Linked DNA regions of Caenorhabditis elegans. The protein of the gene in region 3 interacts with the protein of the main gene of each other region in a pairwise test. Each region holds a gene or a part of one and is shown on either strand. Other genes may lie near its edges. The genes, in order: icpp-55, rabi-1, F19C7.8 and hsp-25.

Region 1 (8,922 bases), on a different chromosome or scaffold from region 3:
AAAAAAAACCAAAAAAAAGCTTCTTAAATCGAATTTTTGGCTTCTACCAAAGCCAGGTAGAATTTTCTGCAAAAATAAGAATTTGGAGAATTTGGAAAAAAATCCAAAAATTTGGAATCAAAAATCAAAAAACACTCAAATTTACGAAAATTTAAAGGATTAAAAAATTAAATTAAAAATTGTTTTCAAATAATCAAATTCTCTTTTCTGAATGAAAAAGTTTCAAATTCGAATTTTAAAAAAATTAAAAAATTATCGAAAAAATCGATTTTTTTCAATTAAAATTTGAAAAAAAAACGAATTTTTATCGATTAGGAGTATAATATCTGAAATATTATTTAAAAATATAAATTTTAAAGATTTAAATATAAAAACTTGGAGAAAAAATCTGGAAGCAAGCAGAAATCTGTCGAAAAACTAAAAAATTCCTCTTTTTTAAGGAAAAAATCTCAGAAATTCTTTTAGTTTTTAAAATTTTTGAAAAAAATTCAAAAAAAAATTCCAAGAAATCTAACTCCTAACCAAAACTTGGAAAATTGTCAAAAAAAAATCCAAAAATTTGGAATCAAAAATCGAAAATCACTCAAATTTACGAAAAATTCAACAAAAAATTGTTTTCAAATAGTCAAATTCCCTTTTCTGAATGAAAAAAATTTCAAATTCGAATTTTTTTTTGAAAAAAATTATCAAAAAAATCGATTTTTCATTGATTAAGAGTAAAATATTCGAATTGATATTTAAAAATAAAAAGCTTTAAAAATTTAAAAAGTTCAAATATTCGAGAAAAAAAATGCTTTTCTCAAAAATTCTCAGAAATACTTTTAGTTTTTAAAGTTTTTGAAAAAAATTCAAAAAAAATTTGAAAAAGTTTAACTCCTAACTAAAACTTGGAAAATTGTCCAAAAAACCGAAAAAAAAGCTTCTTCAATCGAATTTCTGGCTTCTACCAGAGCCAGGTAGAATTTTCTGAAAAAATTTTTTGAAGAAATCCAATAATTTAGAATCAAAAATCGAAAAACACTAACACTTACGAAAATTTCGAAAAAAAAAGTCCCGAAAAAATTCAAAAAATGAATTTTTTTCGATTAAGAGTATTTTTTAAAAAAATCAAATATAAAAACTTCGAGAAAAAATCTGGAAGCAAGCAGAAATCAGTCGAAAAACTGAATAATTAATTTCAGAAAAATTCTCAGAAATACTTTTAGTTTTTTAAAATTTTTGAAAAAAATTTTAAAAGTTTAATTCCTAACTTGACAAATTGTCGAAAAACCCAAAAAAGCTTATTTAATCGAATTTCTGGCTTCTACCAAAGCCAGGTAAAATTTTCTGGGAAATTTTTTGAAAAAATCCAAAAATTTGGAATCAAAAATCACTAAAATTTACGAAAAAGAACGTTCTTTTCCAATTTAAATTGAAAAAAAAACTAATTTTTATCGATTAGGAGTATAATATTTAAAAATACAATTCAAATATAAAAAAAATTCGAGAAAAAATCTGGAAGCAAGAAGAAAACAGTCGAAAAACTGAATAATTATCTTTTTTAAGGAAAAAAATCGCACTTTTTGGCTTCTACCAATTTTCTGGAAAAAAATTTGAAAAAATTTGGACAAAAAATCGAAAAACACTCAAACTTATTAAAATTGAATCAAAAAATTTAAAAAAAATTTAAACCGCAAATATCGAAAAAACGGGAAAAAAATTTTAAACATTGGATCGAAAAGTCTCAAAATTTGGTCACTTTTGGTAAAAACAGAAAAAATCTGAACAATTTGAGAAAATATCGATTTTTCTTCAAAATAAGAGGATTTTTTGTAGTTTTTCAGTTGAAAAATTTTTTTATCGAGAAACGTTTCGAAAATTTGAAGAAAAAAATCTCACATCCAAAATTACCATAAAATTGGAAAATTGATAATATTTTTTGAAAAAATACAATTTTAAACATTTAAAAAAAATTATCATATTGAAACAATCGAAAAAACTAAAATTTTTTGGTACTTTTAGTTTTCAGAATTGTTGAAAAAAAACTTTTCATCAAAAAAAAATTTTTTTAACCTAAAACTTCCGAAAAATTTCGATTATTCGGAAATTTTTTGGTTTTTTTCATAATTTTGTTTTCTAAAAATTCAAAAAAAAATCACTTTTTTTCAGGTACATCACCGGCGAGAACTGCATTGTTGGAGGAGGAGTCTCGTATCGATTGTAGATTTTTTTTGCAATTTTTCATTCATTTTTTAGACTTTTTTAGTAGGTTTTTCTGTTCATAATTGTTAAGTTTATTTTTTCTATTAATTTTTGCTCAATATAAAATCGAATTTTTTGTTTTACCTCCTTTTTTCTCTCGAAAATTCAGGTTCCCTGTTTCCCAAAAAATCTATTTTTTTCAGTTTTATTCATTTCTAAAAAAATTCGAATTTCCCTCCCACACAGATCAGATCCAAAAAAAAAATGCTCAGAAGTGGGCGGAGCCTACCAATGTGGCCATCGCGAATTCCAAATGAGGAATATGCGATGAGAAGGACGAATTTGATGAATTTACTCAAAAAAGAGGTCAAAACTGGGGGTAAGAGGCAGAGAAATGGCCTGGTGGCCTAGAATTCTGAAAAAGTTAGGCCATCATTTGGAAATGAGGATTTGCAGTACAAATAGGACTTTTTTAAATTAAAATTTTCTCAAAAATCCGAAATTTCGCGGTTTTTAATTGAATATTGGGATTTTTAAAGATTTTTTTTTCAAAAATTCGGATTTTTCAGATTTTTCCGTTGAAAACTCGAATAATTGCCAATTTTTGGGTAAAAATTCCAATTTTCTTTTAAAAAATTAATTTTTTTAATTGAAAAAAAAAATTAAGGCGAGTTTACTCTCAAAAATTTGGAATTTTCCGATTTTTAAATTTTTTTTTGAAAATTTGGATTTTAAAATCCAAATAAAGAGAATTCTCAAAAATCCGAATTTTCAGATTTTTTTAAAGGAAAAATTCTATTTTTCTCTATAAAATTAAATTTTTCCTGAAAAATGTTTTCCCATTTTTCTTGAAAATTTGATTTTTCTAAAAAAAAAAACGAAATTTTTCAGAAAAATTTATTCTACAAAATTCATCGTGTCGAGACCCGGTACCGTAATAAAATCACCATGGTGGCCTAGAAAACCATTTAAAAGTTAGGCCATGACCTCTCAAAGTTTCAGAAAAGCAAGTGGTCGTTGTGATGAAAGGAGCACGGAAATCATATATTGCACCGGATGTTCCACACGCGTTCCGACAGAAAAGCCATTTCAGGTTCGGTTTTGATGGCCGTGGCCGTGAAAATGATGAGAGAAAACTCGGCCACAGATTAACTTTTTAAGTTAAAAAAAGCTTTTTCCAGAAAAAAAATAAAAACTAGAGAAATTTTTTTAGATCCAATTTTCAAACAAATAAATAAATTTTAGAAAATTTTTTTTCTGAAAAAATCGAAGAAACAATCGAAAATTGGAATTTTTCCCAAAAAAAATTTCAAAAACAAGAATTGATTGAAATTCTTGGTACTTGTGTATTACATGCCCTCATTTTAATAGTAATTTTTTAAGTAGCAAAATAGCAATTTCTAAGCCTAAAAAGAGAAAATGTATATCACGTTTAATTTAAATGGAGAAATTAATGAACATTTAATTTAATTTAAAAATGAGGGCATGTAATACACAAGTACCAAATTCTTCAGAAAAAAATTGAAAATTTTTCAAAAAATCTAAAAAAGAATGAAAATTAATTTTTTTGTCAGAAAATATTTTTGTTTTGAAAATCAAAATTTCGCCCTAAAAAAATTGAAAAATAACCTAAAATTATCGAAATTTAAGCTAAAATTAATATATTAGTAGAATTTTTCTGAAAACATTTTTTTTTAATTCTAGATTTTCCCGAAATTTTTTGTTATAAAATTAGTAGAAATTTAACATGTTCTTCTTTAAAAAAAAAACTAGAAAATCAGGAATTATTGAAATATTGAATTTTTCAGGAAAATTTCGTTAAAAAAAATCATTGCCGCCGAAAATCGACAAATTTCTTTTTCTGAACGAAAATTAAATTATTTAAAAATTGAATTTGTTTTTTTTTTGTTCAACGAAAATAATAGATTTGTTCACAATTTTCGGATTTTTTTTGGGAAAAATTCAAAATTGTTTGATAAAAAAAATAAATTAAATTTTTAACAGAAAAAAATTTGAAAAATTTTTTTTTTTTGCAGATACCTAAACGGAATCACCACACCAGATTGTTATTACATAATGCAATCAGGAATATCCGAATCTTCAAAAGAAACAAATATTCTTTTTGCTGACCGTCGTAGTGCCTATGATGAGCTATGGGAAGGCGCCCTACCAACTGAATCCGAATGGGAAAAGACTGCAAAATTCACGGAATGTGTGCCGACTAGCCGGATTCTACAGACTTTGGAAAAAGTTTGCGATAAGGGAACTGCAGTGTTTTTTGATTCGACTTCTGATGATTTACTCTATAAGTTTGTACAGGCTAAAGCTAATTCTGTTCGGGAAATTAATCATTTTGTGAGTTTAGAGATATATAGAATTTGCAGAAAATTGTTCAAGCTTTGAAAAAAAAATCCGATTTTCGAGGATTTCAAAGTAAAAATTCAAATTTTGTCCAATTTTTAAACGAGGTCAATTTTTTTCGATTTTCTAGTGGAAAATTTGATTTTTTCTTGAAAAAAAAGAATTGTCTGAACAAAATAGGAAGTTTAAATTTTCCAGAAAATGGTTTTAGGAGGTTTTTTTCATCCCAGAATAAACATTTTTAATCTAATTTTTCAAATTTTTCAAAAAAAAAATTTTTTATTTACTTTTTATTTTGTTTCACCAATTATCAATAAAATTGAAAACGCTCCAAATTTTAAACTGAAAATTTTTTTTTCGAAAAAAAAAAATTTTTTAACGGTAAAAAAATTTTCCCAATTTTTACTGTTTTCGAAGCTTTCAATATTCATTTTTTTTTTAGGAAAAAGTTCTAGAAATTATTTTTTTGAAACTTTTGGAAAATTCCAATTTTTTCCTAAAAAAAATTTTTCTGAACACCCGAAAAATCGTTTTAAAATTTCAAAAAAAAAATTATTTTTTTGCCAATTTTCAAGTTTTCCTTGCAGATCGAACGTCGCCGAGTAATAAAATCTCCATCCGAAATGAGCTCAATGCGTGACGTGTGCAACGTGGGAGCCCAGACAATGAGCTCAATGATATCGGGATCACGTGATCTACACAACGAGAACGCGATTTGCGGGCTCTTGGAGTTTGAAGGACGTCGTCGTGGATCAGAAATGCAAGCATATCCACCAGTGATTGCCGGTGGTGTTCGTGCCAACACTATTCACTATTTGGACGCAAATAATGACCTAAATCCCCGGGAATGTGTTCTCGTGGATGCTGGGTGTGATTTGAATGGTTATGTGTCAGATGTGACACGTTGCTTTCCGATTTCTGGATTGTAAGTGCTAAAAATTAGTGATAAAACCCCAAAAAATTAAAAAAAATTGAATGTTTTCCCATTTTTTGCTGATTTCGCCCACAAGTCTATTTCTACGAAATCTTGCATTCCAGTATTTGTGGTGACTCAAATGAAAATTTTTCTCAGAATTTCAGAAATTACAGAAGTTCGGCCAAAATTCAAGAAAAATGGGGTTTTTCTAGAAATTTTGAATATTCCCGTTTGAGACACCACAAATCATTCTGGAATGCGAGATTTCGTAGATATGGATTTGTGGGAGAAATGGGCGGGGCTATTCCAAGATGGCTAAAAAATTACGCTAAACATAGAAAAAAAAAAGAAGAGGCACCACCGAAAGGAGAACAGGTGAAAAAGGAGAACAGAAACCACGCCCATTTTTTCCGTGCCGCGCGCAAGTTTTTCTGCAAATTTTTATTTTCAAACGAGACAACGAAGCTCCGAAATAACACGTTGATGATAAAGAACACGATATGCGTTATTTCGGAGTTTCGCTGTCTCGTTTGAAAATAAAAATTTGCAGAAAAACTTGCGCGCGGCACGGAAAAATGGGCGTGGTTTGTGTTCTCCTTTCTCCTTTCGGTGGTGCCTCAAAAAGAGTCTTTTTTGCACTTTATTCCTTTAAAAATCTCCAGAAAATTCAGGAAAAATGATTTTTTTTCTGGAGATTTTGAAAATTCTAATTTGAGTCACCACAAATTCGAGAAAAAAATGTTGTTCCGTAGAAATGGAATTCAGGGTGAAATTCCCAAAAAATTACGCTATAATGAATTTCAGAATTCAGGAATTGATTTTTAAAAAATAGAAGATTTCGAAGAAATAGATTCGTGAGAGAAATAGGCGGTGCTAATCACGGAGTTCTCCCCTTCCTCAGTGAATTTTTTGCGCTCCATTGACAATCGCCCGCCGGACAACGCGTGGGAAAGTCGTGTACTCCACACGTACAAATGCATTTAGTTTTACAACTAAAATCGAGCCGCGACGCGGCACCAGATATGGCCGAGCCAAAATGGCCTAGTTCGGTAAACTCTTCCATTCCAATTTATGAGGGAAGCCAGAAATCCGTGGATAATCGTTTTATATAAAGTTTAATATAATTCGAACGAAATTTGAAAAATCGTTTCAAAAAACCTTCCCAAAAAAAAATTCGTTTTTGCAGCTGGTCAGACGCCCAACTATCCCTCTACGAAGCGCTTCTCTACGTTCACGAAGAACTGCTCACCTACGCCCACTCAATGGAAAAAGTCCGCCTAAGCGCCCTGTTCCGCCGAATGAACGAACTTCTCGCGGCAAGTTTCACCGAACTCGGCCTGATTCGATCTACGGATCACAAGGAGATGATTCATCAGGCGGAGAAGCTGTGTCCCCACCACGTCAGTCATTATCTCGGAATGGATGTTCACGATTGTCCGACAGTATCCCGAGACATTGATCTACCACCGAATGTGCCATTTACCATTGAGCCGGGAGTGTATGTTCCGATGGATTGGCCTGTCAAAGAGTTTCGTGGCATTGGATACCGTATCGAGGATGACGTGGCGACTAGTGAAGCTGGAGGGATTGAGCTGTTGACTGCTGCAGTGCCAAGGGATCCCATCGAGATTCAGAGGCTCATGGGAACGGCCGAATAATTGTTTGAATGTGGAATACCGAAAGAATTGAGAAAATATTTTAGAAATTGCTCCAAATTTGGCCCTGATTTGATATTCCTTTGTTCAAACTTTTCGCTAAAAACATTCTCATTGGAGCGCGTTATGCCATGTGGATTTACGAGATTCAGTTTTACACATTTCTGTCGGTTTTTTTGCTGAAGATCTGCATTTTCGTGCCAATTGAACATTTTATTATCCAAAATTTTTTGCGAAAATTTTCAAAAAAATTAGTTAACTTTACACGAAAATCGATAACAATGATGAAACTCGTTGAAAATCTTAATCTCGTAAATCGACATGACTTTGCGCGCTCCAATGAGAATGAGGCTGGAGTGGCGGAAAAATAATAATTTAGAAAAATAAATATTTTCTTTTGAATTTTTCGGGCCAAATTTGGAGAGATTTCGGTACTGCGCCTCAAATGTTTTTTTTTTGTTTCTATAGTTTCCTAGTTTGTATTTTTTTTTTTGAAAAAACTCGCATTTTCATTGTTTTTCCTATCATTCCTATCAGAGGGGACTCGGGGGAACACAAAATTCAAAATTCACAGAAAACTAGGTGATGATGTTGCTGGAGGCAAAAGAACAAAAAAAGATAGAGAGGGTGGTGTTGGTGGTGGTGGTGGCAATATAAAAAATGAAAAATATAATAAAACAGGAAACGATAAGGCAATAGTGGGATAAAAACGGTATGAAACATCATTCAAACTGAGATTCAGCACAGGAATACTTGGGATGATGTGTGTATGTGTGTGGAGAGAACGAGAATTGCGAAAATGCAATAAGATTATATTATTGTATATGTGATCTTCTCCTATATTTGGAGCATTGTAGCTCCTGGAGCAGCAGCCGGAGCAGTAGACACTGCTGGAGTTGTATTTTCGATGATTGAAGACGCCTCGTCGAGCAGCATCTTCTCGTCGGCTGTAGCGTGTGGGCAAAAGTCCGACAGATCACCGACCAAGTGAGCAATCGATGGAACTGACGAGTGACGGCACATTGGGTATTCCTGGAAAAATTAATTAATTCATAAATATTTCGTGAAATTTTTAACAAATTATATATTTTTTTAAAGTTTCGCTTTATGAAATTTTTGAGTCTTTTGGCTCAATTTTTTCAACAAAAAAAATTAAGTTTTTCTGCAAGTTAAACAGGTTTTAGTATAATTTTCGCCACATCTGACGCGCATGGGTCTCGCCACGCGGATAACAGGTTACTGTAGCTCGTGTCGATTTACGGGTAATGCATTCGATATTTCAACCTTGGCAGCAAATTTTCAGAGGCACCACGTTTTCAAGTTGTTGGCACGGTGCCAGATCCGGAATCGCACCAGATCTTGAATCCGTGGTGCCTCTTTCGTTCTGCTCCCTTTTCGTGGGGCCTCAAAACTGGCACTTTGGGAATACATTTTCCGAGAAGCAGAAACTTCGAAAAAGGGGGGCGGGGCATAAGCAGTCACGCCCAGAAAATGGACAAAAATTTTGACTTTTTTGAACTTTAAAAAGTTGGGAATTTTTTCGGTAATTCAAAAAAAAGCCCCCGTACCGGAAAAACGAAATGCTTCTTCTCGGAATTCGGTGCTGCCGAATGAGAATTCGACGGAAGACGACTATTATTAATGTCGTCGTAGTTGATTTTCGGCTGCTCAACACATTTCTTCTCCGCGTTTTCGTTTCCTTCGGATAAGTAGGTTGGTGGTGGTCCAGTTTCAAAAACATCATCCTCAGTCTCGTGGAACTCCATTGTCTTTGGTTTGATCGGTGAGAACTCGGGCGACGCGACTTGT
Region 2 (6,094 bases), on a different chromosome or scaffold from region 3:
AATTTATTTCGCTAATATTTAAGACTATTTATAAGAAAAAATTAAGAATTTATTTTCTAGCCTTCTACGTTTTTTGCTCGTAAATCCACGTTTACTTGTATTCCTATTTTTCAAAACGTTTCAAAATATTTCCGATTTCAATTTAAATATCTGTGTTCAGATCAGAAGCAATGGGAGGAGTAATGTCATATTTTCGTGGCCTCTTTGGCGCCCGCGAAATGCGTATTCTCATCTTGGGACTTGATGGAGCCGGTAAAACGACAATTTTGTATAGGCTGCAGGTTTTTATTTCTGGCTGAAAACAAAACCATATAAGCTAAGTTTCAGGTCGGTGAAGTTGTGACCACGATTCCAACAATTGGTTTTAACGTGGAACAAGTCGAGTACAAAAATTTGAAATTCCAAGTCTGGGATCTTGGAGGACAAACATCGATACGGCCTTATTGGAGATGCTATTATGCGAATACTGATGCAATCATTTATGTTGTGGATTCTGCTGATAGAGATCGAGTAAGTTTGAAATTTTATTTTATTTTTTGTAGTAAGGATTTTAATATCAACTGTTTTAGGTTGGAATCTCTCGTCAAGAACTTGCAACAATGCTACAAGAGGATGAACTTCAAGGAGCTGTTTTAGCAGTTTTAGCCAATAAACAAGATATTGCTGGATGTTTGACTGAAACTGAAGTGTACAAAGCATTGGGATTGGATGCTCTTCGTAATCGTACCATTCAAATTTTCAAGACATCTGCTTCAAAAGGAGAAGGGCTCGACCCAGCGATGGATTGGCTGGCGAATCAATTGCAACAGAAAAAGTGATCAAATTCACGTGAATTCGAAGATTTATCATCCAAAATGAGCCCAGAACAAATTGTCTAAAATCTTAATTTTCTAGAATTGTAGATGATTTCTGGGCACTCGTAATACATTTTAATTCTCCATATTTTGTTTAGCTGCAAACACGAGGTGTGTCTTTCTCTCTATAATTCTGTGATTTTTCTTCCTTTTCTTCTATCCTGTTCTGTTCTTTCTTTCCTTCCTTTTTTGTCTTCAAAAATCTCGTTTTATTTAATTTCTATCCGCTTAATGATTGGTTGTTCTATTGCCTTATCCCAATGTTCTTGAGATGATCCGTTTTATAGTTGTTTTTTTGTAAAATGTAAAAACGAATAATTTATACCACCAAAAAATTTGTAATTGAATTATTTATTTGTATAAAAAGTGTGAAAGACCTGTAGTTTCAAATTATGGTAAAATACTATTAATTCAATGATGGCGTATGTTGGAACGCGGGACAAATCCTAGCCCCAGTTTGGCAAGTGACATGTTTTTCCGCAAGTTTACAACGTGAAAATATGAATCTCGAGGCCCGGGTTTGATCAAACCTTGGGACAAGTATCGGATACACGTGAAGAAGTCACAGACTGCGGCAATCTGTAAATCTTGAGTTAATTGAGAAATCAAGATTACGGTACCAGGTCTCGGCACGACTGAAAGTTTTGAAATTCAGGTTGCGAAAAAAAGTGTGCCTTTAACGAGTAAGGTAGTTTCTATTACGTTTTCTAAGTAAAGGGTTTCGAAAGAAAATAACGAATAGAATGGCAAAACTGTGAGAAGTGAAAACTACCGTACTCTTTAAAGGCGCGCACCTTTTTGGCAGTCTCAATTAAAATTATCAATCGTTCCGAGACCAAGAAAAGTGGAATAACTCACCCTATTCCTGGCAATTAACGAAACATAATGCCATTCTTGTTCCTCATCACCAGTTCTTACTCGATACGGACAAAACCTTGAAGCATTTGTTAATGCACAAATCCTTACAGATGGTTTCAGTTCATTTAATGGTTCAAGTTGAACACGATTCTCTCGAATTGCCTTCATTATTTCTTCTGATAACTCAGAGTTTTCGAATAGCATACATGGTTCAACTTCTTCAACGGTAACTCTATCAATAAATGGATGAGATGTCGTCGGATGTCCAGCTTCTCTCCAAAATTCAAATTCAGAAAAAAGAATTGGATCGATCTCTTCAACTGCATTTGCTTCTTTTTGTTCTCTATCTTCTGATGGTGTTAGTGTATATGTTGATGTAGATGGAAGTGATGAAGCTTTCTTTTTATCTGATACATTTGCAGCGTCTTTTTGTTTTTTTGATGATGAACTTGATCCATTGAATAGTTTTGATAAAGTTGATTTATGTTCTGGAGATGTTGTCTGCTTGAAATGGTTTTGACCCATTCCTGGAGCAGATATCAATTCTTTCAATGCACGTACTTCTGCTTGAAGAACTTCAACTTCAAGTCTTGATTCGGTTAGTAGTTTTTCTGCTTTCTCACGACGAGCTTCTGCTGTGTTTACCATTTTGTACGCCTCCTGTAAACTTGAAGATGTGATGGGAGTTTTGAGACTTTTTCATCGGTTTTCAATATCATTCTTATCTTTTTTACTTGGTCAACTTTCTAAAAATTTAAATTATCTTATGAAATTTTGAAAATCAAAATCGAGAATTTTTATAAGCTAATTTCTCAGGATCGGAGTTGTACTGGTCTTACCTGAAATAATTTTTCAGTAAGTTCTTGAACTTCTGCATCCACTGTCACTTGAATTTGTGTCATCTTTTTATCTTTTTCAGCAAGCGCCGTTCGTGTTGCTCTGAGCTCAGCCTGCATTCTCAAAAGCTCCTCAGCCCTAGGACTCATTAGCTCAGAGTCGGATGATGTCGAGGCAGATGATGATGTTGTGCTTCTGGCGGAGATTCTGAAAATTTAAGTTTGAAAGAGTTACTCGAATAATGTTTAGGGATGACAGCATTGTTGAGTTAGATTTGTATTGTTTTTGTAGGCAATTCAGTTGCCAGAGTCTAGAGATATCAAACATGGGTAAAAGTGAAAATGGTAGTGTTCCACAAAGAAAGGCAAGGCATTAACAATGAAAAGTTCGGCACTTCGTTCCGCAGATTCACGAAAATTACTCTTTAAGGAACCTATGAAACCGGAGAAGAAGAAGCACAGTTACATGTGGACTACTGTGGTCATAAAATACTATATAATGAATTATATTTCATTAAAAGAAATTACATAAAAGTGTATAATAAGAATCATTTACAAATTGTCAGTAAATTAATTAATATAAACATCTTACCTCACATTATCCTGGGGATCGACTGACAAATCGAGATGAATTGGGTTCAGAACAGAAATTGTATCAACCATTTTTGCATAATTTGTATTGCTTTGATAGTTTTAATTCTGAAATTAAAGTAAAGTATTAATGTATGTCAATGATAGAAAAGAGAAGATGTCTGTAGATGAAAAAGAAACGGAGATGTATGTTTTTTTCATTGATAACGTAATACAGATAGATTGAAGACAGGAAGAACGGGTTTTGGTGATGTAACGAAGGGGAATGAAAGTAAAAAAGGGAGGCGGGAAAGACTGGAAGAATAAGGTTCCTTTATAATCCCGAATGGATTATAAAGAAGACAAGATGTTGAGAAGAAGCATTGCGAAATGATTCTGAAATATCAGGGAATTCATGAAAAAAACTGGGAAAAAAGTCAGATGATTCAGAGAAAAAACACGACGAAGATGAGGATTGAACTTTGGGAAAGATAGAAAACAGGAAAAGAGAGAGAGAGAGAGAAGAGATGACACATGTGCTCACAGACAAAGATTCTTCTATGACCAGAGAGTAACAACAATAACACATAAACACAGAGATTGATTGGAGAGAAATTTTGAAGGGCAATTGAAGTTGCAAGATGTTCCTCAGAGCTTTAAAACGAATGGGGCATCGGATCATAATAATTTGATAATTTTAGATCTCGGCTAGAGACTCGAGCAGAATAATTTCATGCTATTCATTATTTGTTTTCGGAACCTTCATTTCTAAAACAGCTACAGTAAAGCTTATTCTAGTTAGGTATGTAACAAAAACATCTAGAGCATATCACATTTTGCAAGATGAATAAAAACCTGCAGCCTATACAAAATTGTCGTTTTATCGGCTCCGTTTTGAAAGCTCATGACATTGGTTTTTTGCTAGCAATCTGAACTCCATTTTAATTGACACCTGGATGCTTAACTTTTATATAGTAACCTTGAGAACCGTCAAAAAGTGGCGATTATTCAGTTTTCTGGAAGTCGAGGACAAAACCATAAACGATGATTTCCAATTTTCCAAAATCGAAAAACTAGATATAGAACATCAGTAAGCAATACACTGCCCTAAAAGTTCCAAGTTATCTCGATTAGAAAACATGAAAAGTGAACAAAAGGCTTGTCCTTCTACGCTTTTTTTACATGAAAAAAGTGCAAAACGTCCTTGGTTTTTCATCAAAAGGTTAGTTATACGACCACTAATTTCAAATAACCCTGTCCCAAAGAAGGAATGGAAAAAAAAGAAAAAGAAGTAAAATGAAGAGAAGAAAAAAGTTAGCTATTCATGAAGAAGCAGTTAGCGAATAGGAAAGAAAGGAGCCACCACACGGAAAAAAGAAGAAATTGAAATTTCGTGAGAAAAGTGTAATCAAAGAAGTAGAAGAAGTAGAAGAAGTTAGAAAAAAAACGAAACAAAAATAGAAGACTACAAATTTTTTGGAAAAAAAAACAAAAGAAGAATCGAAGTCACCTCGTAAAAAAATGTAGATCTCGTAAGAGCTGTCCGAAAGTACCACAAGATAATACTCCGAAGCTGAAAAAATGGTTACAGACAACGTTTTAAAATGTTTGACATTGTAGATATGTGAAAAGTACAAAATTGGCTTCAGTATAGACTTTTTGTTGACTTTGTGGAGCCAATGGAGCACGGGTTACATCGAATCATACTTGTCCAATCAAAAATTGGAACCTATTCCCATCAACTTTTCTTCCAAAAAGGAGACGAGTACAGCAAAACAGAACAACACGCAGTGTTTATTTTGCGGTTTCGGTTTTCTTCCATTTCTCCGTCTAGATCTCTCAACACTATGTGTGTCTGTATTGTATTGGTAGGTATTGCAAAGAGGAATCCGATCAAAAGGGAACGGCGGCCAGATTTTACGGGCAAAAAAGGTACTCAAAAGGGCTTATACAGTCACTCTTTAGAAAAAATAAATGGCGTCAGATATGGAATGTGGATAGTGTTGAAGTTAGAGCCATGTATCTAAATGAGAAACTAATCGAAGGTTTTCTACAAGGGAAAAAGTATAATTAAGAGTTAGAGAAGTTTTTCAAGAACAAGTTTCAACATTTCACACAGCGTTGGTTTTCGTACCAAAAGCTGACATGGTTAGTGATTTTCTGCGTTTTTTATGGTTTTGTACAACCTAAAACCGTCTTAAAGCTTAACACATGTTCTGTCGTATGCAAAGAATGGTGAATGAAAATAAATCGAAGAACATGTTTTAGGATGTGGTTGGGTTAGCAATAAGGTCATTCGAATTTACCGAAACTTGTGAATATACTTAACAAGGATCTTCGTTTTGACAGTACTATTTAGAAGTTTATAAACTTAATGTTTTTAAAACTTGATTTTAAAGAAAACTTTGAATAATTTTACAAAAAAGTAACCTATGCAACAGTAGAAAATATCCCAACAACATATAAAATTAGCCAAAATCAATCGAGATTTCTGTTTCTTTTGGTTCAATTAACTTTCCACAGCCTCACCACACTAAATTCAAATAATTAGTTAATTTATAGAATCAGGAAACTACCGAAAATGGCCTATATCAATCAAGAAAGAAACTAAAAAATGATTCAGTCCTCTCGGGCCTTCAAAATATTAGAACTTTATTTGGTTTCAAACTGCACAACACAGTGATCATTTTTTTAACATTCAGCCAGTAAGCTTAAGTCATTTTCTGGGAGAATTGTGCATTTTTCAACTATAACAAACTCAGTTGAAATGTTACAAGGGACTTTTGGATTTCAAGTGATGATATAATTTTGAAATACCAAGCAAACAGAAGCTTCGAGAGAAAATTAGGTAAATCGAATTCAGAAACAGATTCAATTGGTGGAATAGAAAACAGAAAGAAGAAGAAGAAAAAGGGAATTCGAAACGAAAAGTTTGCTTCAGAAACGGAGGAAGGAAACGACAGAAGAAGGGACGAC
Region 3 (6,295 bases):
CAGGGAGAGTGTCTTGCCGTCTGATTGTGAGTCTCTCCTTTCCTCCATTCCATCATGCTAGAACGCGTTGCAACTCTGTGGAGCGCGATCCAATTCAAAAGTTTTCTGATAGCAAAATGTGCAAAATTACATGGGAAGCATTTTTGTAGTTTGCAATTTTCTGATATCTCGCTTCTCTGTGGAGTTATATTTGTTTCAAACAACCTGTTCTGAAAAACAAATATTGGAAAACTCGAAGAAAGATGAGCGGATCATATTTTCTGCAAAACCTGCAAGGTTTTTGATTTTTATTTGGCAGACATCTTTATTAACCTCAAAATAATGTCATAACTCATAAGGGATGAGACGCAGACAAGGAGAGTGCCTCGCCGTCTGTATCTTCCCTTACCTCCCTTTTTACTGGGTTACCTTCAACGGGTCGTATCTTCGTAGAGCATGCTTCAGTCAACAAAATTTCCAATTGACGAAATGTGCAAAATTACACGGGAAAGATTTTTGTAGTTGTCAATTTTTTGATATCTCCTTTCTCCGTTGAGTTATTTGAGTTTGAAAATGGCTGGGTCTGTGACGAGTTTCTTCAGACATTGGCTCTTTTTTGAAAAAAACTGAACAGTTGAAGAGCGGTGCTTGTAAAAATACTTGAAAAATATTCTCATCTCGTTTGCACCATGTCGCTTCAAATTTTAAGGTTTTTGGCTTTTTTTTTGAACAATGTGAACTTCTACAAAAGCGGGCATAAATCAATAAAAACGCCGTCTTCAAAAGTTTATAGCTTATTTAAAATCCAAACGGGACCCCAAAACTCTTCGCTCTTCCTTAGCTCAATCCAGGTAATTTATCTCCATATCCCCAAACAAAATTGAGCCATCAAGCGAAGAGGTGTAAAATTGTGCAATGCTCAGGGTATTGTGCAATTTATTCGAAATCTTTAGCAGAAGAAAACGAGAATAATGAGTTCTTGCGAGCCATTCGGATATTGGTCATCGCCGGGCAAGCCGGAGCAGCTGCTCTCGCCGCGTTCCGAAATTCCATCAGGATGACAACGTACTAAAAGAGCATTGTACGAAAAAAAACACGGAGAAAATTTGTGGCAGCACACACAAAAACACAACAGCCGCATAAATTTCTCTCCATTTTTTGTCTTCTTCGTTTCTTTCGACACACAGCTGATTTTACACAGAACATCAAAAAGTGAGGGTGGATAATGATGATATGGGCGGAGATGAAGATTTTGTAGTTTTGGGTAAAAAATAGAGGAAGAGAAGAAGATGAAGCTCAGTGTTTTTGGTTTTTTCATCTTTATCTCATCTTTTTTTGAAAATTAGTTGTCGGCAGAAAGCAAATGTACTAATTGAGTAGAGGATTTATGAGTTTTAAAAGTGAAAAAATATTAGGCTACATTTTCTTTTCCTAGAGGTTTGAAATAAGCCTACCACAAAAAGGCCTGCCTACCTTCAAGCCTATGCTTGGTACCTTGACGTTCCGCCTGGGCGCCTCTAATATGCCTTCCATTTGCCTCTGGACACTTATATCTTTTTACCTATATAGTTTTCGGTCGTTAGTGTATAACTCAAACTGTGCTACGTGTGTAGGCAGACGTAGCCAGCCTTGTAGGCAGGCAGGCTTTATGGTTTACATATAATCCCAACTTTAACAAAAATTAGTTATCTTTCTAAACATAAATTAAGCGAATTCGTGCTCTCATTCATGTATATTAAAAGCCCTTGGCACTCGTAGCTCAAAGCGTCATGCGTGTAGGCAGCCTTGTTGGCAAGCAGGCAGGCAGGCATCCATTTTTCTGCCTACACAAAATGCCTCCTATTGCACAAAAATGCCTGAAAAAGATCAACCGGTTCATCGTTCCCGTTCATGTAAGAGGTCTCAAATCGCGAAACTTTCCCTTCCAGTTTTTATCAGAAAAAATCTGAGCTTTGTTAGGCCCGAAACTCTTTGCAAAACTAAAAACTCAAATTCCATAAATCACAATTAAGCTGTTTCTCTGCTATTTTGTATCTGCTCAAAAGTCGGGATTTGTCATTCGAGAACTCGTGAGAACCTCGCCGCCCAATTAAATTTTTTGAGTATACTATGGTCTTGTGATCAGTTTTTTTGGACCAAGTCTAAAGTACATATATTTTTAATTTTATGCGGCGCGTGTGGTAGGCCTTTTCCAAACCTCTGGTGACTGAAAATTCAAAAAAAGAAACCGCAAAACCAGTAACTTGTAGTTTTAAAACTCTAACCTGGAACTTTGCGTCAAAAAACATATCAAAAACAATCCAGTAAAAGACTTTAAAAACCAGGACACATTTTGCACAGTGATTGACAGGGAAGTTGATTGTTTTTCAAAAATCGTTGTTTTTTTTCTAGAATATAAAAGTATATAAACCTTTAAATTTTGAACTCTCTCCAATCCATCAAATTTCCAAGTTCTCAAGTCAAGAAATACTCAATCAATCTCTCTTTGCAGGAAACATTGTGTGTGTGTGAGCAAAATGGAGTTTAAAGTATCATCAAGCCAACGGTGTTCATCTCCTCCTTGGTTCCTCCATCACCACCTGACCACCACTGCTGGAGGAGCCTCTCGTCCTCTTCCATTGCATCACCGATCGCACTCTGCTTCCACCCCCACTACCACTTCATCCATCACCGCATCACCGTCCTTATCTCAACTTCCTCCTCACCAGCCCTACCATCTTCATCAACAACAGCAACATCATCAACAGTTGCACAAAACCATGACAAGTGCACTTGAGAAATGTACATCTTCGCTGTCTGAAATACATAGATTATTAAGAGGTACGTTTTTATGCAAATGTTTGGAGTTATTGTGTTTGTGAGTGCTGTGGTTTTGACTTCTAAAAATGACTTCCAATTTTTTTTTTGAAATTTATTGTACCGTCAAACAGTAGTGAAAACTTGGTTATCATAATTTTGGAAGTCATATATTTTTTCTTACGACTTTTTCATACTTCAATTGCGCTGCGTTCAAAGTGTTGCTATTTGAACATTCTAGATTTGAACATTCTGAACATGCAGAAATTATAAAAGTTCTTTAAAAATTATAAATGTTTGGAGGATTCGGCAAATTACCAAATTTCGATTGAGTTTTGAAAACTCTTTTTTGAAATGTTTTATTATGCCCCACTTTTAAGGATACTATTCCCATGGATACTCGGAAATTTATGTAGTACTTGACAAAAAACTGAACTAAAACCTCCGAAGTTTTTTTTTTCAAAAATATTGATCGTGTTTCTTGATCTGTGTCATTTCAAGAGTGTAAAATTTCCTGCAAAATGTTATAGCAAAAGCCCAACGGTTCTTCAGATATGAGCTCAAATTGGAAATACATGATTGATCGGCAGCTTCGGCTTAAGTTATACAAAATTTTCCATGAAAAAACGAAACATACACCACCAAAATTCAAAATCAAATTAGATTTATGTTTTGAAAAATTTGCTGCTATGGCAATTTCTCTAATGCTCTCATAATTGTAATTAACAAAAAAAAACGTTTTTTTAACGTAAATAAATGAAAAAGATTTATTATACACGTGAACTTGAAATAAAGACGTAGTTCAATTAGTTGCATTTTTAAAATTTCATTCCACTGCTATTATTCTAGACTTTGCGGCATCCATAACTAGCGCTTTCGAGCCCTCGTCTTCTGGTAAATCTTGGGTTAAAACTGGCCAAGGCCGATCCAACATCACACCAGCTTTCCGGGAGGGTCCATTTACCATGAGTGTAGAGCTTGGCTACAAATTAAATTAAAAAACACACATGTTATATTCCACCATACCAAAGAGAAAAGATGGTTGTTCAGTTCTGTCTTCTGGGCGTCCGCACCTAGCACCAAAGTTGGTAATACCGGCGTTGTCAAATTTTTCGGAATCGATTTTTTCTGTGATTCCAATGATAACAGATCCTTTGGGACACCATTGAATCGATCTCCAGTATCCATATGGCGAATCATTGTAAATGACAATTTTGTTATCGATGCTTAGGGTATCTGAATTAGAAATTGAATTAGCTAGTTTACCAATTAGAATAGTTACTTCCGTCCGGTGGATTGCAGAAAAAAATCAGTTCAGTGACACCATGATCTAGGCTCAAAACGCCTCGTTTCGTTTCAAGTTTGAGTTGGAATCCGTTGATGACTGAGCCTTTAGGACATGCAATATAGTCCTCCCGCGTGGGTAAATTCCCATGGGCAGTAGTGTAGAACACGGTGAAGATGAGCAGTGCAATCAGCAGGTGCATAGTTGCAGCCGTTATTAATTGATTGAGTGAAATTAATTTCTTCTTCTCTTTTAATTTTTTTCGCTCCTTAAAAATTTTCAGGTTTTTGTTTGTTATTTTGACGATTCTACGCCCACATAGGAGAACAAAACTTTGAACACAACTAAACTGAAGTGACTAAACTCAATGGAAGTTCGAGAAAGCTGGCGTTTATGTTAACAATCTTTGTTCTTTGCGGCATTTCTATAACTGAAAAATTTGATAAATAGAGTTCTCTGTGTTGCTTAGATAAGAAGATGACAGATTAGAAATTTATTATACATGTAAATGCACAGTTCGAGGGAATGCCTTTTTAAAATTTCGTTCCAGAGGCAATACAAAAAGCAGTTCAGATTTTACGGCATCCATAACAAGCGCTTACGAGTCCTCGTCTTCTGGTAGATTTAGGGTTAAAGCTGGCCAAGACCGATCCAACATCACACCAGTTTTCCTGGGTCCATTTACCATGAGCATAGAAGAACTCTGCAAATTCAATCTCAGAACACACTAAATGTTATTTTATCACACCAGAGGCAAAAGATGGTTGAACAGTTCTGTCGTCTTGTGGACGTCCGCATTTAGCAGCCAAGTTGGTGATACCGGCGTTGTCAAGTTTTTCGAAATCAACTTTTTCTTGGATTGCAATAATAACAGATCCTTTGGGGCACCATGTAATCTGTCTCCAGTATCCATATGGCGAATTATTGTCTATTACAATAAAGTTATCGGGGCTTTGGTTGTCTAAATTGGAAATTTAATTACCTAGTTTACTAATTAGAATAGTTACTTCCGTCCGGTGGATTGCAGAAAAAGACGAGTTCAGTGACACCATGATCAGCCTCGAAAAGGCCTCGCAACGGTTAAAGTTTGAGTTGGAATCCGTTGATGACTAAGCCTTCAGGACATGCAACTAAGTCCTCCCGCGTTGGTACATTTCCATGGACAGTAGTGTAGAACACGGCGAGGGTGAGCAGAACACTCAGCAGGGGCATGTTTACAACAGACAATATTTGATTTGATTTATTTCAATTGATTAGAAAATCTTATATACTCACTACCAGAACGTGACCTTTCAATTAGAAAGTGTCAACGTTAATGATTAATTGATTGAAACTATTTTCAAAGACTCCTGTACTGTGAGACCTGTGAGAAATAGTTAAAACCTAATACCTCTAAAATGACCAAATATCAAAACAAAACTTAGACCTGTGAGTTCATTGTCTCAAGTTGTAGTATTCAGTCATATTACTCGAAATTAGAAAATTACAACCTTAAAAAACCTCCAAAACTTAGCTAGAGATTTGGTTGAATAAATTTTAAATAAATATTTTATAGAATTTCTTTGTCCAAGCTTTCTCAAATTTTTGGGAAAAAAACGAATAAAATAATAATTACATTTAAATCAATAATTTTTTAAACGAATATGATTGAGAAATCGTGTGGCCGCGAATTTTGAATTAAGGCCCTTTTATTGAATTTGAGCTGGTTGTTTCCCACTTAACTAAATTTTTCCGTTTTTCTTGTGGGTGAATCGAAACTTTAAATTTCAGTAATTTCCGCACATCCACCACTACTTCTTTAAGAACGCGTAAATTATGGCGTTTGGACATTGACTTATCAGTAGATTTATATCGGACTTAAATGTCAGAAAATCTCAAAAATTGTAGGCTGCATATTTACTCCCATGATATCCAAAATTCCAACTAAGTTTGGCCCGGCACAATTTGCAAACATTTCAAGGGTCGTGGCAGTATCAGATTGAAATTTAAGTTATAAAGGAATTATCAACAAATTGGTGAAATAAAAGCAAGATTCATTACACACGCGAATAAGTTGCATTTTTAAATATTCATTACAGTACAATACAATACAAGTAGTTCAGTTCTATGAACTTTTATTCTATACTTTGCGGCATCCATAAGTAATATATTGGATTGCTTGGGGTTTGAAAATTTTAGGGTAAAAACTGGCCAAAGCCGATCCAACATCACACATTTGATCCCGGGCCCAGCTAC
Region 4 (9,214 bases), on a different chromosome or scaffold from region 3:
TTTTTGTGAAACCGTTGTGTGACCAAAGATTCTATAATATTATATATTTTGTCAAAGTACACTTTGCTACGTTTTTCTGTTTCTTTCGAAAGAAAGTTCTCGAAATATTGGTGGTAAGCAGCACTGAGAAGATTACCAGAGGGCAGCCATCGGCAGTCGTCATCCAATCGTCGGGTCTGCCGCCGGCGCCATCACCATCTCTCATGTCGTCTGTATCTTTTGCATCATTACCTTGTCGCGTTTTTCTCTCAACTTCTTCTTTTTCTCTGTTCACCTCTTTTGTTTCTTGTTCTTCTTTCGCATAGTTCCTTCCCGTCAGGACATTTTGCATTCCCGTTGCCTGTTTACTTGTGTCTTTCTTTCTTTTTCCCATCTTCTATTAGTTGCGTCGTAGATAAACCGGGGCAAAAAGTAAGCATTGATAATGGATCAAGAGACGGATAGAGATTGGTTGAATTGAGGATTGAATAGCGATGATGACCACTACGCGGACATTCAATTGGTGTTTCATGTTCCGTGGAAAACTTGTACGTTTTGCCACCTTTACTAGTTTTAAATCTGCATGTTTCTCTAGACCTGGACATCTAAAAACAAAAATAGTTGAAACTCAAATTGTGTCAAAATGAACAAATTTTGAAATAATATTTTTCAAAAATACACATAAACTTTTTTATGGCGGTTCAAAATTTCAAGAAAAATTACCCAATTTTAGCTAAAGCTTTTATTTTGCCAGCCTTTTTGGGCCACAGTCGTCGAATCAGTTTCTTTTGAATTATCATTGTTTATTGCGCATTTTGGCATTTTTAATTTTATAGGTATCCAAAAACGACAAAAATGACTAACATTCAATGTTAAATGACTAAAAAAAAGAATTAGCTCTAATTATGTGATTTTTTTTCCCAATTTTCAAACTGCCATAAAACTTTTTCGAAAAAATATGGAGCACTCTCATTACAAAATTTATCGACCAAGACACATTTTGAATCAATACAAATAGAAAATCAAGGTTGATACCGTTTTTTTGTGGCGTACCGAAATCTTGTTGACAATATTCTAAGCTTTAGCTGAAAATAAACCGTTCTTTTTCCAAAACTCACTATCAGCCCGAAAGCGATTCTCCACTTTTAATTAGTGAGAAAAAAGTTACCCTATCAACTTTGTTCTAACAACTTCCTTATTAACACATCCCCTACGCTTCTCTGCTTATCATCCTTCTCTAACGATCAAATGTGCATGATCATTAAAATGTATCTCTCCATTAAATCAAAACGATAAGAACGCCGTCTTCTCCATTTTCGTGACCGGCCATTATCATTTCCACCCAGTCAGCCGCATTATGTGTACATCTTCATTTCGCGCGCTTTTCCCAAACATTTTCCCAAACATCTGCGCGCGTTCACTTTGAAGAAATCAACAAAAATTGATTGAATACAGCTGTGGTGTTACAGCAAACGGGGGGGGGGGGGGCAACAAACCGAGGTCCAAGATGCTTTTCGCCGTTGGCAATCGGGGGGGGGGGGTACCTCTAATTTTTTGTCAGCTGGCTGGCTGGCAGCGTGATATCCTCTTACCCCTTGGCCAGAATTTCTCTGCTCCTCATCTACACCCCCTCGAGCCTATCAACACCCACATAAACTAAACAACAAATATTGCAGTTCAGGACAGTGAACCCTCCTTAGTGCTCATACTTAGTGCAATGATGTTAGCATACACACACATATGTGCGTGTCTCCGTCTTATATTCTTATTCTCTAGCGATTTCAGTCACTCGTCCTCCACTATTTAATTGAGAGCTCATATTTTCCGTTTGTTCAGTATCTTGTTCTCAATTCAAATTCGCTTGACATTTATACCCTCTTCCCATTTCAACTAATTCATTTATCCAAAATTCTTATGACGTCACTAAAGTATCAAGAGAATGTAATCTACTTATAATTCTTCGTGCAGTTTAAAAATGTTAATCATCATCTCGTAATAGTTATTTTTGATTTATTATCTCCTTCTTATCTCTACTACAAAGCACGTTTATAAAACATGTCTTACTAAGTAAGAAAGGGTTTGAAGATTTCACCGGACTACGAGACATGTATCATTTGAAAGCCCCTGAATTGGCCCAATATGAACTCTAAGCTACAAATTTTCAGAAATCTCATAGATGCTCACAGCAGCATGGCTCACCATCGGTGCTCTGGGGACATGTGTGGTATGGTAGCAGGCAGAAATTATGTTTTTGTCAATACACACTTTTGTAATATCATAAAAAGCTCGGAAATTTTCTGATTTTTATTCAAAAATTATTTTTATTTGTATATTGACAAAAAGGTTTTTTTTTCAAAAAAATCCCACACGATTCATACAATAACAAAAATAATACACTCTAGCCAAAAACAATTTTTCTATCTGATACCACCATCACACCTGTCCTGAGAGCACCGATAATGCGCTACTTATGGTACTCTGATCATCTTTAAGCTCACCGCAAGATTAGTTCTGAAACATTGCAGCTCAACGTTAATTTGTTCATAATTTTTCAATACGGGCTTCCAAATTAAACATGCCTTGTTTAAAAGTCCGGAGGCACTTTCAGACCTTTTTATAGTTAGGGAATTAGTATGGACAAACTGTTGAAGTCTTGTACATATTTATACATATGAAAAAAATTTTGAGATGATTTAGTGTTTTTCATTTTTCAGTTTTCGACATATGTAGTTGCTTAATGTTTCAAGATACTTTCAAATTTCTAAAAAAAAAACGCGAACATTGCTCAACTCACGTGTTGTCAAAAACTATTTATTTTTCAAATAAAAAACTACTGTTGGTTGGAAGGAAAGCATTTGTCGATCATCTAGTCGGAAGAAAGCATTTTCCGATAATTCAGAACTTTGGAATGTGCTTCGACAACGATGAAAATGCTTTTTGCCTTTCCGATATTTTTCCCCGTGCTTTTTTCACAAGGCGTACAAAGACGAAAAAGCATCAATGGTGGTTAGAGCCAAATCATAACAAAAAAAGTTTCATTTTATATTTCCATCATGCCCACGTACACTCGAACTTACTCCTATAGTAAAAGGTATGGTCCATTTTTCCGATTTCGAATTCCCACTTCACACTTTTCAATGACGTTGTTAAGTTTAAAATTTTCAAATCGCAGTTTTACGGTTTTGTTTGCGTTTTCATAACGCATCATAACTTTCATATCATTTTTATCTACCTCTATCGAAAATGTATAAAAAGTTTGACTATTCGCACAATTTTGCAGAGAAATGTCGGAACGCCGTATCGACGTAAACCGTTCCAACTACTCGGTCATTGACAATGAATTTGGAAATATGCGTGATCGTTTTGAGCAAGAGATGCGTCGTGTTGAGGAGGAGATGAAACGTCTTCGCAGTGAATTTGAAGGTTGGTTTTTTAAATTTATTTTAAACTAAATATTTTTTTCTAATTGTGGAAATCTACTTTTAAGTTAAATATGTAGTCGTCAATTTTTTCCCGTATTTTACAATTAGATATATTTTTCAGCACTTTTTAAAAATGCAACTAGTTAGAACATTAGATTTGATTAGTTTAAAACCAGTTCTCATTACAGTTGAAAAGCTGTATGAAAAGGTTCAAAAATAATCTGATGGGTCAATTTTCCCAACATCTGCCAGAAACTTTCAGGCTAATTGTTCATAATTTCAACCGATTGTAAAAGAACTCGTACTCCTCAACCTATAAAAAACAAATATAGCTAATTTTGTTTTATCAATTGTTTTTCTAATATTAATTTTTTATGAAAAACATCTGACCAAGATTTTGAGCAACATAATAGACAAGATGTTATAGCCAAAAAATTTTCTCAAAAAAGTTGAAGTTTCCGCCTAACATATTTTTTAAAAAGTGTGAGTTCCCAGCTAATCCTTTTTAGAGCAATACAATAATCCCTCCACTACCTTTTTCAAAAAATTTGAGTTTTTCTCCAAAAAATATTTTTCTTAAAATTAGATTTTTCCGCCAAGTTTTACCTAACTCTTTCAAAACTATTTCAGTTTTTAATTTTCAAAAAATTGAAATTTTTAAGTGGAATTCAGTTTCAAATAGGTGTTCTCCATTTTTTGGAATGTTATAAACCCCCGAACTTGTCCAAGCGAGACAACTCACATTCATCCTGTGTTCTTGTGTGTTTCGATGTATTTCGTCACCACATTCCACTTATTTTTCTTTTGTTGTTATGTTTCTCAGTTGGCACGTCGAACTTGGCAAAAAAAAACCTGAGAGCGACAGCTGATGTTTGTTCATTCGTTTTTGAGATTATAAGTAGAGCATACAAAATGAGCACTTTGAAGAATAATGTACCAGGATGATCCGGAAAGTAGATTTAAGAACCAATACTTTCGATTGAAAATTGCGCTACACAGCATTATAGATTTTTGTGTAATAATTTAAGCTTTCTCTTCAATTTCACAAACCCATATTTTACAAAAAAAGTTGTTTTCGAAAACATTCCTGCCTCTTATTTTGGAGAAAAAAGGCCTCTTGACAATATTTTGAGAAAAAGCTGAGAAGAACACAAAGAAAAGAGGACAACGTCATTTTCCGGACCCTCACTGACCAAATTTCATTTCGCGGTGCCTAATGCACTGGAACTGCGCCAGTGACAGCATTCACCTTAACTTTCTTCGAAATTTGTCATTTTCGTCTTCAAATCTCTTGCCGAAATATTAGTGCGTTATCCCCCCGACTACGTCAATTAGTTCAACACTTTAAAAGCAAGGTCACCTTGCGTTTGGAGACAGGGTGATGAGGTTCATGATTGCAGGCTATCGTCCAAACGGAGGCCCACCGGCTGCCATCTCCAATCAGCCGTACAACGCCTACTCGAACACTTCTTCTCACCACGAGACTTCGAACCGTACTGGTGGATTCGGATCTCCACTTCCACCACCATCTTTCCACGGTTAGTTTGTACACAGTTATTTGAGATAGAAAAAAAATTTGCTGAAAGGTTTCAAAGAAAAAAAAACTTCCCAACTTTCCACAACACAACAGCATTTTTTTGGTATGCTGAAAACTGCTCCTTCTAGCATGATAATCCAATTCTTGAATTAAAAATTATACATAGTAAACGTGTAGAATAATATTTGGTCAATTTTGAACAAGATTTTTATTTATTTAGAAAGTTCGAGAAAAACCAGAAATAGTGCCCGAAAGCTGCCCTTATGTCGTTAAATTTTTTTCGGCAAACGACAATTTTCAGACACTATTTAAAATATTATTTGGAACTTTCTACAAACATATATATATATATATATATATATTTAATATTGAGCTTTTTTTCCTACATTCGTATATTTATTTTAATTTTAAAAAATGGATATTCATATTTTTTGAAAGATTTTCTGCAAAGCCCTTATGAACACCTCCAATCCCATTGTTTCACAGCGCTAGAAAAAAACCCAAATGGATGGTTGCAAAATGAAGAAATTTTCAGTGGCTGCATGCCTATGTGTGCTTAGCGTGGGGGCACTTCTTCATCCTCCTTTTCCCTCTCTTCCTTCCTTTTTTTGTCGTCGTGTTCCAATAACTGGCCATGCAAAAAAACATGTTTTCTAAGACTCGTTTCTTGTTCTTGATGGCTTTTCAAAACAGGATTTCTTGAATCGGTATGAAAGTCAAACGGAGGATTCGTCATATTTTGGCGATAACGATTCGGAAAATTTTCGAATTTTAGGACGGGAGGGAGAAAGGAAATAGCAAAGGGACGAATAACGCATCATTCAGCGTATGAAATTATCTGCAGCCGGCATCAATTTTGAATTTTCACTCACTCCGTTTCATTTTCATCCATCCATTCGTCATTTTAACTCTTTCCCTTACTATTATTCGCCCATCATCAATCAGAGTAAAACTCAGAATGGGCATGATATGAGCCGGCCAACTCACAAACTCTTTTTGTCAGTTTGGTTTGACACAGAAAACAAGGACAAACTAAGAGCATACTTGTAGAAAAGTAATGTGTCGTTGGAAATTCCCAATTGCACAATTGAGACGGGCTCACCAGATTTTTTTTTCGTCAAAAATATAGTTTTTTTTTCTGTTTCGTAGTGACCTTTTCATGCAGATTTCAACTTTTTAATATCAAAAGTGGGATTTCGCAAAAAAATAACTAAATCTCTAAAATGTTTTAGACATTTTAAAGATTTTCCTAAATGCCTAGTTTAAGTTAAAATGACAAATTTTTGAAAACAATTAGAGCTTTCCTGCAAATTTGAAGCCTTTAAATTATTGAATAAAAATATTTAAATCTATATTAAAAATTCACACCATAAGAAAAATTTTAAAAAATTTGCCCGGAGGTTTTTGTGCATATTCCTCATCTACCAATGTTTATGTTTTCATATTAGGTTTTTTTTCTTTTGACCAATTTTGCTTATTTATCGATGGTTCCCAACAACACTACGTCGGTATTAAATTTCAGCGCAACATTTTTTTCTTTTTTGCCTTTCTGCGGGTTTCTGTGAATATGTTCTTTTTGTTGTGAACTCGCAAAATATATTCAAAACCAAATTATTACACAGTAGTTTTATGCACTCAGCACATCCTGAGAGGTCGCGTAGGCAGCCGCATAGCAACATTTCGGCAACAACACTGCAACCTCGGCGACGAGTTTTGCTCTATTTTCTATTGTTGTGCTACGTCGCATTCGCGTTTTTCATATTATTCACTTTTTTTGTTGCAGGACCCAGCGACTTGATGGCTCATCGTCCAACCTACGATCCATACTTGGACAACTTGAAGAGCCCACTCATCAAGGATGAAAGTGATGGAAAGACTCTTCGTCTCAGGTACTTTTTTGAGGCATTTTCAACTCTTAGATTAAGTTAAAAGATTCAAATTTTATTCGAAAAATATTAAAAATATAATTTTAATTCTGTATTTACCGGCCTCAAACTATTCAAAATAACGAACTCAAATTTTATAAATATTCTGAAAATTATCTAAATGTTTCCGATTTTTCAAAACTTTCAGACAAAGTAGTGAAAAATCTCCAAAAGTTAAAATCTTTGAATTTTTGTGATGTTCAAATAACTCGTCCAAGTTCAAAGCCAAACAATGTATGAATGAAAGTATTGAGGAAAAAAATCGCCTTAACTTTTTCAAAAATCAATTTCCAAAGTTGAAAAAATATTTTCAAAGTTATTTTTTTAAATTATACATAAAAATTTTACTCTTATTCCAAGCATGAATATCAATCACATTTCATTTTGGTTAGCTCTAAATTCAACAAACTCATAAAATTGAAATTTCGAGTCAAAAAAATCTGTACCATAACCGAAAAATTGATAAAACTTATTTTTTACCAGTCAAGAGAAAAACTGAATTTTTTATTTAACAAAACTGAAATTCCAGATTTGACGTAGCTAACTACAAGCCAGAGGAGGTTACCGTCAAGACTATTGACAACCGTCTTCTTGTCCACGCCAAACACGAGGAGAAGACCCCACAACGCACCGTTTTCAGAGAGTACAACCAGGTGGGTGTTTTTTATTTTTATTTTAGAATTCAAACAGTTCTCTTGGGGCTAAAAATATGGAGCGAGGCCCCAAGGTGTCACTCTTCATTCAGTTGCATTAATCTATACAATCAAATTTCCAGGAATTCCTTCTTCCAAGAGGCACCAACCCAGAACAAATCTCATCGACTCTTTCGACTGATGGCGTGCTCACTGTCGAGGCTCCACTCCCACAATTGGCAATCCAGCAATGAAACCAAAAATATCGCCGCCTGCTTCCTCACCAACCCGAATAACGCAACAAAAACTTTACATTTTTCTAATAAATCAACTTTTTCTTGTAGTGTAAATCATTAAAACTTGTAGACTCAACCATAATCCTTTCTTTAAACATGTTTACGATTCATTTTCCAATTCAATCCGCTTCATTTTTCAATACATTTAATACCTACAAATCTTATTGGTTGTTCATCAATTTTCTGGAGTAAATGTTCATCTTTTCATTAAATCTATAATAAGATCGCAATTTTATCAAATGATTCGTTTTAACAATTGATTGATACTGATGGAAAGTGTCAGGCAAAGCAAAAAGTGTATAAGACTAGCAATACATCACTGAAAATGGAGAGAAAAAGAAACAAAAAATCGATTATGATAAAAATTGTTTTAAAAAGTTAAAGAGTTCCCCGTGCATTATATGAAAATAAAAAGAAAAAAGAAAAGAAACACGTTTCTGATCATTCAATGAAAAAATAAATTTTCTAGCGGAAAAAAGCGAACTGGGAAAAAATGGAATTTTGATAGAGTTTGAAAATTGATAGTAACAACGAGAACAAAAAGTAGGTATTCGAAACTCAGAGTTCGCGCAAGCCAATTTGAAAATGTTTATCCGTAGCTTCGAGATGAAGAAAAAAAAAAAGAAAAATGGAGGCTGGCCAAAATGAGGGAAAATGGAAAACCATGTCAGATGTTGAATGTTAGCATGACCGGCTGAAAAAATAATAATTCAAATTTTTTTGTTGATTAAAGAGTTTTAGAATTCAAAAGATTATTTAAAATAAAAACTAAAACGAGGTCTTAGTGTAGTTTTTTTTTAACATATTAATCCAATGTAATCATCATAAAGCTATTCAAAATTATATTTAAAACATGTTTTTTTTTGATATTCAAGTATTCAGGAAAGTTGTTTTCAATTTGAACACAAGTTAACTTTTATTTTGTAATTCTGAATAATTCTTTGAAAAAGTTTAAAAATAGTATTATTTAATGCTGTTCAAGCTATTTTGATATACTGTTTAAAAAAAAATTTCAAATTTTTTAAATAAAGTTTTTTTAAGGAATTATTTTTATAGCAACAACAAGTTGTTGAAAATAGTCTGAATATAATATCAAATTAAATTCACTCGAATTCTTAATAAAAATTTGACATGAATTTTCCCATTTCTTTTTCACAGCTTCCAGTCAACGTTTTCTAGTCAACTAGTCAACGACAAACTGACAAATCTTGAATAAAAATGAGTTAATTTGAGAAGTTTCAATCATTTGTGAAGATTTTCAAAACCTTTTCAAAGCATTTTTTTTAATTATAAAATCTGAGTTAAAAAAAAACCAAAAAATCTGTTAAAAAAAGATATTTGTCTCTCACTACATAAAACTACACTAAATTATGTCATTGTTAAATATAGTATTTTAATAAAAATATTCCAAAAATTAGAATAT

Evidence for each region.
Region 1: the proteins of F19C7.8 (region 3) and icpp-55 interact in a two-hybrid assay, tested with the Caenorhabditis elegans proteins (one large-scale study listed by BioGRID).
Region 2: the proteins of F19C7.8 (region 3) and rabi-1 interact in a two-hybrid assay, tested with the Caenorhabditis elegans proteins (one large-scale study listed by BioGRID).
Region 4: the proteins of F19C7.8 (region 3) and hsp-25 interact in a two-hybrid assay, tested with the Caenorhabditis elegans proteins (one large-scale study listed by BioGRID).

The regions. Positions count from the first base shown.
Region 1 is NC_003279.8:366,969-375,890, reverse strand, and holds icpp-55 (Aminopeptidase P N-terminal domain-containing protein), read left to right. Parts: upstream 1-2,445; coding exon 2,446-2,560; intron 2,561-3,177; coding exon 3,178-3,274; intron 3,275-4,217; coding exon 4,218-4,536; intron 4,537-5,129; coding exon 5,130-5,467; intron 5,468-6,644; coding exon 6,645-7,116; 3' UTR 7,117-7,390; downstream 7,391-8,922. Other genes in the region: R119.3 (DeHydrogenases, Short chain), read left to right, coding at 2,149-2,203; rnp-8 (RRM domain-containing protein), read right to left, coding at 7,951-8,145, 8,682-8,922.
Region 2 is NC_003280.10:8,581,840-8,587,933, forward strand, and holds rabi-1 (GDP/GTP exchange factor Sec2 N-terminal domain-containing protein), read right to left. Parts: upstream 3,248-6,094; 5' UTR 3,212-3,247; coding exon 3,141-3,211; intron 2,757-3,140; coding exon 2,552-2,756; intron 2,373-2,551; coding exon 1,713-2,372; intron 1,434-1,712; coding exon 1,266-1,433; 3' UTR 1,195-1,265; downstream 1-1,194. Other genes in the region: arl-1 (ADP-ribosylation factor-like protein 1), read left to right, coding at 171-281, 328-510, 570-818.
Region 3 is NC_003282.8:4,634,296-4,640,590, reverse strand, and holds the start of F19C7.8 (SH3 domain-containing protein), read left to right. Parts: upstream 1-2,495; coding exon 2,496-2,799; intron 2,800-3,620; coding exon of another isoform or gene 3,621-3,757; intron 3,758-3,801; coding exon of another isoform or gene 3,802-4,011; intron 4,012-4,057; coding exon of another isoform or gene 4,058-4,262; exon of another isoform or gene 4,263-4,290; intron 4,291-4,629; coding exon of another isoform or gene 4,630-4,763; intron 4,764-4,808; coding exon of another isoform or gene 4,809-5,021; intron 5,022-5,067; coding exon of another isoform or gene 5,068-5,140; intron 5,141-6,110; exon of another isoform or gene 6,111-6,179; coding exon of another isoform or gene 6,180-6,295. Other genes in the region: R105.5 (Vitelline membrane outer layer protein 1), read right to left, coding at 3,621-3,757, 3,802-4,011, 4,058-4,262; R105.1 (uncharacterized protein), read right to left, coding at 6,180-6,295.
Region 4 is NC_003284.9:6,033,282-6,042,495, reverse strand, and holds hsp-25 (SHSP domain-containing protein), read left to right. Parts: upstream 1-2,851; 5' UTR 2,852-3,032; coding exon 3,033-3,070; intron 3,071-3,259; coding exon 3,260-3,402; intron 3,403-4,553; exon of another isoform or gene 4,554-4,636; intron 4,637-4,794; exon of another isoform or gene 4,795-4,801; coding exon 4,802-4,939; intron 4,940-6,721; coding exon 6,722-6,827; intron 6,828-7,392; coding exon 7,393-7,516; intron 7,517-7,638; coding exon 7,639-7,749; 3' UTR 7,750-8,033; downstream 8,034-9,214. Other genes in the region: ipp-5 (putative type I inositol 1,4,5-trisphosphate 5-phosphatase), read right to left, coding at 8,459-8,485.